2 linked regions of the Caenorhabditis elegans genome follow. The protein of the gene in region 1 purifies or fractionates together with the protein of each later gene. This does not show direct contact. Each region holds a gene or a part of one and is shown on either strand. Other genes may lie near its edges.

The links.
Region 2: the proteins of mab-20 (region 1) and lad-2 purify together in Caenorhabditis elegans (affinity purification with western blotting, with the first as the bait; one study listed by BioGRID). This does not show direct contact.

The regions. Positions count from the first base shown.
Region 1 is NC_003279.8:1,645,447-1,653,023, forward strand, and holds the start of mab-20 (Semaphorin-2A), read right to left. Parts: upstream 6,012-7,577; 5' UTR 5,810-6,011; coding exon 5,737-5,809; intron 4,339-5,736; coding exon 3,916-4,338; exon of another isoform or gene 3,029-3,915; coding exon 2,657-3,028; intron 1,790-2,656; coding exon 1,671-1,789; intron 1,602-1,670; coding exon 1,512-1,601; intron 824-1,511; coding exon 79-823; intron 1-78. Other genes in the region: Y71G12B.18 (Methyltransferase FkbM domain-containing protein), read left to right, coding at 7,470-7,553.
Region 2 is NC_003282.8:2,975,475-2,980,510, forward strand, and holds the start of lad-2 (Neuroglian), read right to left. Parts: upstream 3,011-5,036; 5' UTR 2,925-3,010; coding exon 2,858-2,924; intron 2,813-2,857; coding exon 2,698-2,812; intron 1,974-2,697; coding exon 1,857-1,973; intron 1,811-1,856; coding exon 1,740-1,810; intron 957-1,739; coding exon 836-956; intron 1-835.

The sequences.
Region 1 (7,577 bases):
TACAATTAATTTCATGGCCGCAAAAAAGTACAGTTTTTCGTGATTTTTTCAGTTGAATTTTTTGTTAAAACTCATTACCATGAACAACAATTCTTGCTCTAACAAGAATAATATTATCTCTCAAACATTCATAGGTTCCAGCATCCTCCAACTGCGCATCCAACACCACCAATTCCCCATTCCGAGTCACCACGTGCCGTTGCCCACTCTCAACACTCCGCCCATCCTTCTGCCACACCCCATTCTTGGCTCCAACCAAACGGAGCCCGTCGCCCAAGTAGACATCCTTAACGGTAAGCTTCTCGACAGCGGAGCACTCTGGTGATATTCTTCCAGCCCATGAGCTCGAAATCCAGCCGACTGATTTCTCATTTGTCTTTGTTTTCAGCGAGCATTTCGAGTTGACCGCATTCCAGCTGCAGTAGGGATCAAGGGAGCAGAGAGCACAGGATGGTTGCTCCGAGCATCGAGCAACTGAGAATTGGGAGACACCGGCTCCAGACGTGACAAAGAAGAATTCGGCAGGCAAAAGTGCCACGTCATTAATCCGGGAGGCCGCAATTTTTAGCGATTTTTCTTCGATTAAATTCGATTTCCACTCGTTTCCTTCTTTCCAATGCGAAATTTTCCAAACTCGTCGATTTGCACTATCAAATGCAAAAATCACATTCTGGTTGGGAAGTTGATCTACGACAATATGCGTGAAAACGTGGTCACGGAGTGGCAGAATCGGGGTTCCGCCGGATATGGAATCGGAAACCAGGAGATGCGTTTTTGCAAAGTGAAGATCCGTATCCGAAATGCTGTGCGAGTTTTGTGAGCACTGAAAGAGAGAAAATCGATGATTAAGTGGTTAACGCGTCAGAAATGGGCGGGGCTTATATTACACAATTTTTATATCTAAAAATGAATTTCACCAACGGAAAATAGGTATTTTTCAATCAAAATTGATTTTAACATCCTGAAAAATCGATTAAAAGGGGTTTTATGTCAGAAATGGGTGGGGCTTCCAAGATGTTCCTTTAAAAAATCATTAAATAAGCTCCGCCCCCTGGTATCAATATTTTCGGACCAACGCATGTTTTCCTTGTTAATATGCTCGGCCACGTGGAGTCAGAAAGTCCCATTTCGCTTTGATCTACAAAAAATGCGGGAGAAGAGACGCAGAGTTCTCAGCTGATTTCGAATGGAGGAGCGTGTTGACGTCACAATTTTTCTGGGAAAAATTCCCGCATTTTTTGTAGATAAAGCTATATTGGGACAGCCTGACACCACGTGCTCCGCATCAAAATTGTTTGAAAAAAATTGCAAAAAATTAAAGAAATTTTTTTTTGAAATAAGCCCCGCCGAGTTAAAACCGATTTTTAGAAGACACCGAGCGTAGGCGGGCTTTCAAATTTTTCAAAAATTCTAAAACTACGGCTCCGCCCACTTCTGACGCAAAATTTCATTTTTGAACTAGATTTTTTTTTGTAAAATTTATTTTGCAATAGAGCACATTTTCCACCTACCGTTCCCGGGCGATGAGCCGGAATCTCGTCGGCGGTCACCGAAAACTGCCCGTTCGCAGTCTCTTCCATTAGGAGGCCGGTGTCGAGGAGCTGAAAACACAAAGTTCAATAGGTGGCCGAGTTAATTTGATTTGTTTGGCGGCCACGGCCACCACTTACATGATTGATTGAAGAGAGTTGGAACATGCATATCGCAGAAGAAGTAAATGCGGTTTCCGATGTGGAAAACGTGGCGTAGAAGTAGGTTTCTCCGTGTTTGTCGACGCGTTTTACGGATTCTGAAAAAAAAAATAGACAGTGTAGATGCGCTCTATTGAGACGGTCTTAAATTTGAGAACTTCATGATTTTTTTTCCTTAAATTTATCGGCTCGACCATACCTGGGGTAGATTTACGGCGCGTGGCGTGTCGCGTAGCGGCTCGATTTTAGTTGTAAAACTAAATGCATTTGCCCGTGTGGAGTACACGACTTTCCCACGCGTTGTCCGGCGGGCGATCGCCAATGGAGCGCGAAAAATTCAATGAGAAAGACCATAACCCCGTGCGACCACGATGCTACACTCGGTCGCCATATTTTTCAATACTGGTGTCAGAATGTCCCATTTTGTTGTGATCTACAAAAAATGCGGGAATTTAAACGCAGACTTCTCAACTGATTTCGCATGTTTAAGAACGTGCTGACGTCACAGTTTTTTTGGAAAAATATTACCGCATTTTTTGTAGATCAAACCGTTATGGGACAACCTGACACCACGTGAATACTGCGAAAACTGGCGAACATTTGTTTTAAAATCACGAGGCTCTGGCCTTGCTCATTGAATTTTTCGCGCTCTCGCCTGCCGGACAACTCGTGAGAAAGTCGTGTACTCCACACGGACAAATACATTTAGTTTTACAACTGAAATCGAGCCGCGACGCGGCACGCAACGCACCGTAAATCTACCCCAGATATGGCCGAGCCAAAATGGCCTACTTTGGCAAACTCTTCCATTTCAATTTATGAGGGTAGCCAGAAATCCGTGAAAAATTAGTATAATATCACGAATTGAAGGGTTTCAAGACTTCAAACAGAAAATGAATAAAATTGATTTTTTTTCAATTTCTCTTTTTCTCGGCCACGATGCTCCACTCGGTGGCCTAACTTACGAATATGATCGAAATAAAACGGGAAATTTGCAGAAACCGAACAATTAAGTCGAGCCTTGACAAATGACGTCCAAACTTGTCGCAATACATTTCTCCCGCCAATATCCTTTTTACAAACTCTTGCCACACGACTATGAACGATTCGCTCGCCGAACGAGTTATCATGTGCAATTTCACGGAAAAAGAAGAACACATGCTGTCCGACATCAAATGAGCCGACGAATTGCGGCTCATTGAGCCATTTGTTGTCCGAATAGATTGTTCGAATACTGGCGTGCAGTTGTTTGCCGTTTTTGGTGAGCGGTGGACGGTAGATCAGATGATTCTCACCGCCCATTCCTGTACGGATTCCAGAGTATACGGATGTGGCATCTGCAAATGAAAACTGCAACAATTTGGCAAACATTATTGCAAAAATTACTTTTGGAATTTGCACTTTATTTTTTGGAAAATGTTTTGATGCAAAATTTATGAGAATAAAATAAAAAATTTTTTGCAAAATTTTTTTCAAATATCGATAATTCTAAATCACAGTAAAAAGTGTAATTTAGAATTATCATTCACAAAGTTTGCAGAAAATAGATAATGTATCCAAATTCTAGACTAAAACAAATATTTTTTTCACAATTTCACGTGGTGTCAGAATGTCTTACTTTGATTTGATCTTCGAAAAATGCGGGAGTTGAGACGCAGAGTACTCAACTGATTTTGCATGGTTAAGAACGTGCTGACGTCACAGTTTTTATGGAAAAATATTACCGCATTTTTTGTAGATCAAACTGAAATGAAGCAGCCTGACACCACGTGGGGATTGGTGATAAAATCTACTATCAAAACTTATTAATCGATCCTTGAATTTTGCAAAATTTTTTCTGTCGCACACAAAGTGGGGCGGAGCGTAACTTCGCAACACTGCCGCACGGGGTTTGCCTCAAAAGTTTTTTGTTTCGAAAAAAGAGAAAAATAATAGTCAAATCGAAACATTATTGAAAAAATCAACAAGAAAAGCAGTGGAGAAGGGGCGGAGGCAAACCCGTGCGGCAGTGTTGCGAAAGCTACGCTCCGCCCCACTTTCTGTGCAACAAAAATTTTTGCAAAATTCAAGGATGTTTTTTGATAGTTTTTGTAAAATAATTGGGTATTTTTGGTCATTTTTTTAAGCAAACTCATTCAAAACTAGAAAAGTTTCAAAACAATTTTGAAAAATTGCAGCCAAATTATCAATGAATTTCATTTATCAATAGAGCGCACTTGCTTACCCTCCGGATTCCCACTATCAACCACAACCGCCGTAAAATTAAACGTCGGATCCACAACACAAATCCCAATCTCGGTCCGCGGCTCCTGTTGGTCTCGCAACGAAAGTGAGTCGAGCACACGAATCTCCGGCCTCATGCCAACCGACGAGCAAACATAAATCGAGTCGAGGTTATTCGTAAACGCCAAAAATCGAGTCGACGGGCGGCACAATCGCTCGTCACTGGCCGTCGAACGACACTCGGATTCTTCGGACTCGCTGAGCACCAGTTGTTTTTTGGCGAACACATTCTCCCCCGTATCGTTGATATTATAAGCCCAAAGACGGAAAATGGCTCCCTCGGAGCCCACAAAAAGAGCACCGGCTTTTGGGTCGATTAGTAGTTCACGGAATTCTCCAATGTTCGGGTCGGCAAATGTGTTGTCTGCAAAAATTAAGAATTTAGGTAAATACATATATATTGGATTGATGACACTAATACCTAGGTAAACAAAAAAAATTATCTTTAGAGCATATTTGCATACACAATTTTATACAATTTGTAATGAATGGGACCTTATCATCTCGAAAAGCATAATTTTTTCGCTCAGTTTTTGACTTATGATCCTTGATTTGTTGAACCCACGAAAATTTGAATTTTTGGAAAGAAAATTTTTTTTAACACCCAAATCTCGGGGTTCTGGCCTTCCTCATTGCATTTATCGCGCTCCATTGACAATCTACCGACGGACAAATACATTTATTTTTACAACTAAAGGCGAGCCGCGACGCGACACGCAACGCGCCGTAAATCTACCCCAAATATGGACGAGCCAAAATGGCCTAGTTCGGCAAAAACTCTTCCATTTCAATTAATGAGGGATCACCACCAGGCAGGTACCTGAATCCCAGATCCGCAGTGCATAGCACTTGAAAAACGTGATCGTCCTTTAATCCTTTTTTTAAATCTAGAAATCCGTGCAAATGCGAAATTTTGCAAAGCGCTCGGGTCAAAAAATACGGTCGTCCCGGTCTAGATTTTTGTTAGATGAAAAAATGTGTGCGCCTTTGAAGATTACTGTACTTGCAAAACTTTTGTTGTTGCGAAGTTTGATCTTTGAAAAAGATGCATTTTTCACCGGAAACAATAGCAAATTGAAATAAAAACTGTGAAAAATCTATAAAAATTTCCATGAAAATATGCTATTAAACTCAATATGTAACGGATGGAAATTCAGAAAATTTTTTTAAAAATTTGTTTTTTTTTCATAGTTTTCATACTAAAAACGTTCAAATACACAAAAAAAATTCACAAAACTTCACTGAAAATTGCCAAAAAACCCTTAAAAATCTTGGGTCTCGTCACGAAAAACCATACAAATTTACGGTCGAAATAATTTTATCAATTTTTTCAAGCAACTTTATGAAGTTGCTTTAAAAAATAGATTAACTTATGTTATAACAATAAATGCAAGCGCAAAAATGCCGAATTAGAGGAGAGACTTAAAACCAAAAAAAAAAAAATTTATTTTTGGTCTCGAAGCGATAAATTGTTGTAAAATGCAAAATGGTGTGCGTCTTTGAAGATGACTGTAATATCGAGACGTTTAATTTTATTGATTTTTTAAAAAATAGTTTTTCTTTTAGTTTTTCAATAGCAAATCCTAGCTGAAAACTACATTACTCTTTAAAGACGCATGCCCTTTTGCATTTTACAAAAATTGTCGTTTCGGGTCCAAGCTTGGGCAAATTCATTCAATTCGTGGAAATTTGGCTAAAATCTATAATTTCTTGGATTTAACCTCAAATTTTTATATAGGTAATCAATTTGAAAAATACTCACCTGCTTGAATATTCGCTGCTTCACAGCTGTTGTACGCAATAAAAATTACGCTAAATACCAGAAAATTCCTCATTTTCAAAGATTTTTATTTCAGAGTTAAACTCTTTAACTTGAAATTAATAAGGATAGAAAATCAATAAATATTATATAGAATTTGCATGAAACCGTTGTGGTGTCAGGGTGTGTGTGTGTGTGTGCAGGATGGGGGAGAAGACGAAGGCCACCCCAAAGAGAGAGAGAGGGAGAGACGCAGACACAAAGGAGGGGTCCCTGTTACTGGCAGCTGTGCCTCTTTAGTCCTAAAGAATGAGAGAGTAGACGGAGAAGACATCGTAATTGTATTTGTTGGGTCGTTTCGTCTTTTGTGTGTGTGTGTGTGTGTGTGTGTGTTGACGTCCACAATGTTCGGTGGATTACAGGAGAAGGAGAGCCACTTGAAGAACGCTAATTAACATGTATCAAAACCAGAATTCCATATGTTGAATTAGAAATGATTAATATTTTTTCAATAAGGAATATTATTACCGAACATCTAAAAATTGTAAAACTAAAATTTAAAAAATTCTCAAAATTTTCCAAAAAACTCTACACATAAATACATCAAAAACTGCAAATAAAACGCTTAAAACTTTGCAGTGACGGTCCGTACCTGGTTAGGGAAAAAGTGTCGGAGTACTGTAAGGGTACTGTAGTGGCAGTTCTGTAATATAGTACTGTACTCTACTGAAGAACAAGGGTGCGCGGCAATTGCCTACCAGCAATCGATTTTCGGCAATTTCGGCAATTATCGAATTTTTTGAAACCGGCAACTGCCGTAATTGCCGATTGCCGGAAATCAGAATTGTCGGAAATATAAATTTGATACTTTTTTGTAGATTTAGGAGCCTAAACATGCATTTTGATGAAAAATGTTTTATTTTCAAGCTCAACATAATTTGATCCTTTAAGGATTGAACGTTTTCTTTCAGAAAATGACTAAATGAATACTAAGAGACAAGGTGAAATTTTTTCAATTTCCACAATATGACTAGGTTTCAAAATTGCCGAAAATGCCCGGCAATCGCAAATTCCGGCAATCTTGGCAATTCCGGCAATTGCCGAAAATTTTAAAAACCGGTTAAAAATTCTCCTGGTAAATTTAAAAATTCTCCTGGTAAATTTAAAAATTCTCCTGGTAAATTTAAAAATTCTCCTGGTAAATTTAAAAATTCTCCTGGTAAATTTAAAAAGTCTCCTGGTAAATTTAAAAATTCTCCTGGTAAATTTAAAAATTCTCCTGGTAAATTAAAAAATTCTCCTGGTAAATTTTAAAATTCTCCTGGTAAATTTAAAAATTCTCCTGGTAAATTTTAAAATTCTCCTGGTAAATTTAAAAATTCTCCTGGTAAATTTAAAAATTCTCCTGGTAAATTTAAAAATTCTCCTGGTAAATTTAAAAATTCTCCTGGTAAATTTTAAAATTCTCCTGGTAAATTTAAAAATTCTCCTGATAAATTTACAAATTCCTCCAAAAAAAACTAGAATTTTCCCGAAACATTTGTCGCCGACCAAAAGCAATTTTGAGAACAAAACGTTTCTTTTTGTCGTCCACTAATCTTGTCGAACCATCGAAATTCGGCATGGAAAACTGGACAAAATCGCGATTAAATCTGAAAAAGTATTCTACGAAACAATCCGGAACGGCACCAATAAAAGGGCAGGTGGAATCAAAATATTCCGATATTTTTTTCGAAATGAAATCTCGTGCCAGTAGACCGATTAATTTGCTTCTAATTATTTTTCTCATTTTTCTTGGCATTGTTCTTTTATACGGACAGGTATGCAAATCTGGCCTAGAAATA
Region 2 (5,036 bases), on another chromosome or scaffold:
TTCTGGCAATTTGCCGATTTGCCGGAAATTTTCGTTTCCGGCAATTTGCCGATTTGCTGGAAATTTCAATTCCGATAGTTTGCCGATTTGCCGGAAACTTCAATTCCGACAATTTGCCGATTTGCCGGAAATTTCAATATTGGCAAATTGCCGGTTTACCGGTTTGCCGGAAATTTCAATTCCGACAATTTGCCGAAAATTTCAACTCCATTAATTTACCGATTTTCCAGAAATTTCAATTCTGGCAATTTGCCGATTTGCCGGAAATTTTCGTTTCCGGCAATTTGCCGATTTGCCGACAATTTCAATTCCGACAGTTCGCCAATTTTCCGGAAATTTCAATTCCGACGATTTGTCGATTTGCAGGAAATTTCAATTCCAGCAGTTGGCTGATTTGCCGGAAATTTGATTTCCGACAATTTGCCGATTTACCGGAAATTTCAATTCCGACAATTTGCCGATTTGCCGAAAATTTCAATTCCGGCAATTTGCCGATTTGCCGGAAATTTGATTTCCGACAATTTGCCAATTTGCCGAAAATTTCAATTCCGGCAATATGCCGATTTGCCGGAAATTTCAATTCCGACAATTTGCCAATTTTCCGGGAATTGCAATTCCCACAATTCACCGATTTCCCGGAACTTTCAATTCTGGCAATTCGCCGATTTGCCAGAAATTTAATTTCGGCAATTTGCCGATTTGCCGGAAGTTTCGACGTATTTTTTTTTACACAAAAAAACGTGCAATTTTACGAATCTCCCAAATTTTTTGTTTTTGTTAAAATTTTGGAAAACTTCAATTCTGTGTTTTTAAGAAATTTTGCCTATTCCCTTACCTATAAAGCCAGACAATTTTCGGATCAGGTGTGCCACGTGGCGGTGTGCAATTCAACGTCAGCGACTCTCCTTCCTTCACTCTCAATAGTTTAACATCCCGTTTTGGAAAGTGTTCCAGTGCTGGAAATAATTAATTTTCTCGATAACACGTGGTGTCAGGCTGTCCCATTACGGTTTGATCTAAAAAACGCGGAAATTTTTAGTCCAAAAATTGTGACGTCAGCGAAATCAGTTGATAACCCTGCGTCTCTTCTCCCGCATTTTTTGTAGATCAACGTAGATCAAGCCGAAATGAAACGCTCTGACACCACATTCGATAAAACATATCATTTTCTTTTTTCTTTTTTCTCCCCTTCCCTTTTTATAATAATCAACATGTGGTGGTGGGTGGTCTTGATTAAATCCGTCCCCATTCACTAATTAGCACCTTGGCGAGCTAAAAGGGGGCAAAAAGAGCACTCGAGTGCTCATTGAGCCAAATTCAAAACAAACACATTATTATTATTATTAGCATAATTCTTATTATTTATTGATTGATACTGGAAGTTGTTGAAAAAATGGCTTCAAAACTGAATTTTAATTTTTCCAAATTTTGAAAAGTTTTAAATTTGAATTTCCCACCAAAATTTCTGGCAAAAATTGAGTTAAAATTCCACACCAAATTTCGTTAGAAACTAAAAAATTGAATTTTAACTTCCCGCAGAATTTTTTTTAATATTCAAATTTTAACATTCTCAGGGCATTTTCCATGCTGAAAATAATCCAATGTGTTCTGGAAAAATTAACGTTTTTTATTCCTATTTTTTTATGCGCCAAAATAATTTTTTCACAAAATTGTTCAAAAAATAAAATTCGACTTTCCCACCAGTATTTTAAAATTCTAAAAATCATCTAAAAACTAACATCCAAGCCTCAAATGCATTTTGTTCGAAAGTGCTGTTCCAAATATATTCGATGCGAAACATTGATAATATCTGCAATATTTTTTGGTTTTTTTTTCCAAAAATCTGAATTTCTCACCCTTGATGACTAGCATGAGGTTTTGTAAAAACAATTGATCCAGATTGACTTTCTTTTTCCCAAAGAACATCTTCGGAATCAATGACGAATGGCTCACCGTCTTTGAGCCAGGAGTATCTGGAAATAGAGTTGATAAATGCCTGCCTACATACCTACCTAATTACCTGCCCTAAATAGCTACCTACGTGCCTGCCTACCTTCGAGGTGACCTTTGCCTGTCTTGTGCCTACAACCAAAAAACACATACTTTTATTGCAGAAATAGTTTATTTATATAGGCATAAATGTCTACCTGCCTACCACATGGGAGGCCTACACCTGCCTCATGTCTTTCGGTAGGCGCCTGGCAGGCGACGGTTTTTCGCAAACTTTTCACAGCTATTTTAAAAAATGCTCTCGAATTCTCTCAAAAATTTTCATCAAATTCTCAACAAAAAAAACAAGATTTCTCAGTTTCAGACATGAAGGCACGTAGGCACGCTATTTTAAAAATGTATACCTATAGGCAGGGCCTACAATATACAGGCGCCCAGACATAAGCTGCATAGTGCGAAGTACCTTCAACCAAACCAAAAACTCAACTAAAAAAACCGAAAAAGTTAAAAAAAAATAGGCAGTAGGCAGAGCTGGAATTTGTAGTACCTACTATGCCAGTAGGCAAGCAGGCATAAAAATGTATTGTTCACTAGAGGCGTAGGCAAGTAAACACGAGGTTGGTGGTGCCTACTAGACACCTGCTAGGCACAGAGGTACAAGGCACGTAGGCAGGTAGGCACCTAGTAGGTGCCTAGGTAGGCTTGCATGTTTTACGCAGCACCTGTCAATCCCAAATTTCCACCCACCTGTCAGTATTCTCATCTGCCTCGCAACGAAGTGTCAACCTGTTTTTGAGGAGATCCTCATCATCTAAATGATACCACACCTCTTCGCCTGATTGTTCTAGAAGCTTCGGGGGACCTGGAGTTCACAGTTTCAGACATTTTAAAGTTACAAAACTCTTACCAATACTATTTTTTTGTGCAGCAAATACCTGAGTTATTAGAAGAAACTGTGCAATAACTAAACGCATTGTTGGAAAAATCCAAAAAAAAAGTCTGCTACCAAAAATCTACCGACGTCTCAGGATATGATGCATTATAGGCAGGCAGTCTAAAATGTTCGAAATTAATCAAATAACGAAAAAGGAGGCGGAGTCACGGGGCGGGGGTATGATTATGGAGTGTCCGCGGGGCGAATGTCAATGAGATGCAAATCATTGACAGAAATTGGAGCCCGTCTGGTATTTGGGAAACGGGGGGTGAAGAGGGGGGAATGGCATGGTGCATGAGGGTGATCGAATATTGGAGAAAATGGTGAACACTCTGTAAGCACGTGGAGTCAGAAAGTCCCATTTCGTTTTGATCTTCGAAAAATGCGGGAGCTGAGACGCAGACATCTCATCTGATTTTGCACTGCTGTGCTGACGTCACAACTTTTCTGGAAAAATATTCCCGCATTTTTTGTAGATTAAGCTGTAATGAGACAGCCTGACACCACGTATTTAAGTAGTCTTTAGAAATGCTCCTGGAGCGGATTTTTCTTAAAATCTTTGATTAATCTAGGGCACGTGGTGCCAGGCTGTCCCATTACGGTTTGATCTACAAAAAATGCGGGAGTTTTTTGCCCTGAAAATGTGACGTCAGCAAGTTCTTGAGAACTCTGCGTCTCTTCTCCCGCATTTTTTGTAGATCAACGTAGATCAAGCCGAAATGAGGGATATATTTTTTATTTTTTGAAATTTTAAGAATACTCTTTTTTTAGGGTCCTCCTAAATTAAGAAAAAGAGAAAATTTCCAGTTGAAAATTTCCAGAATTTTCGCTCTAAAAATACAGTCCCTGGTCTCGAAACGATGTAGTTTCGAAATTTGCCAATTTTTATAGTTTCTCAAGCAAAAATATGTTTATTCATTTAAAAACTTAAATATTATAGAAAATAAAAAATCATGTGAAAAACTATGCATGAAAACTCGAAAAGAAAAATTGAAACTACAGTACTTTGTAAAGGCGCACACCTTCTTGCATGTAATAAAAAAAATATCAAAAATTGTCGCTTCGAGACCCGAGGTACTGTAGTTTTGAAGGGAAAATCGCTAAATTTTGTGTCTGGGTGATAGTTTTGAATTTTTTTGGAACTTTTATTTTCTGAATTTTTTTTCACACTTTTAGACCCCGTAAATCTACACCAACACTTAAAAAAAATTTTAAGCTTGACTAAAAAATTTCCGATCCCAAAAACCTTTTCAAAATAATCAAAAATCTACAAAAAAAACTGCTCTCGATCGGAAAAACGTCGTTTCGGAATAATAAAAAATAAAGTATTTTCGGTAATTTTTTCAGAAAAATCAAAACAAAAAGTACAAAGTAAACAGAAAAACATCGCCTGCAGTGGCTCCGATATTTTTTTGGTCCCAGAAGTCACAGAAATTGCACAAGAAAAAATCTTGTCTTATCCTCGGCGTCATGGACAATCGAGCCAATCAGGAAGTGAGAGAGTAGGGGAGACGAAGAGACGCAGAGACACAGGAGGGGGGCCCTACAGGAAGACGATGACTGGAGATGGCATGGAAAAAGATGAGGCAGACTATCATCTGCTATTCTAGTTTTGAGGAGAGAGGGAACTGATGTTGATGATGGACAATGAAACTATTTTCAAGTGGCGAGTTTTTGGGATTTTGGAAATTTTAGAAAAAAAGATTGCTTTTATTTTTGGAGAGATAAAATTTCGGATAAAAATATACGCATGGTGGGCCAGACTGTCCCATTACGGTTTGATCTACAAAAAATGCGGGAATTTTTGCGCAAAAATTGTGACGTCAGCGAAATCAGTTGATAACCCTGTGTCTCTTCTCCCGCAATTTTTGTAGATCTACGTAGATCAAACCGAAATCGGACGCTCTAACACCACATATATGGCAAGAAGCTTGTAAAATTACTGAAACAGTGGATTTTTCCAGAGTTGCAAAATTTTAATGCTCTTGAAAATGTGAAAAAGTAGATGAAGGACATTTTTTTGTTTCGAGAATTTTTTTAATTTATCGAGAATTGAGAAAAAATGTGTCAATTTTTATAGGTTTCTCACGAAGCTTCCAGAAAATTTTCACACCCCAAAAACTCAAAAATTTTCTGAAAAATTCCGCCAAAA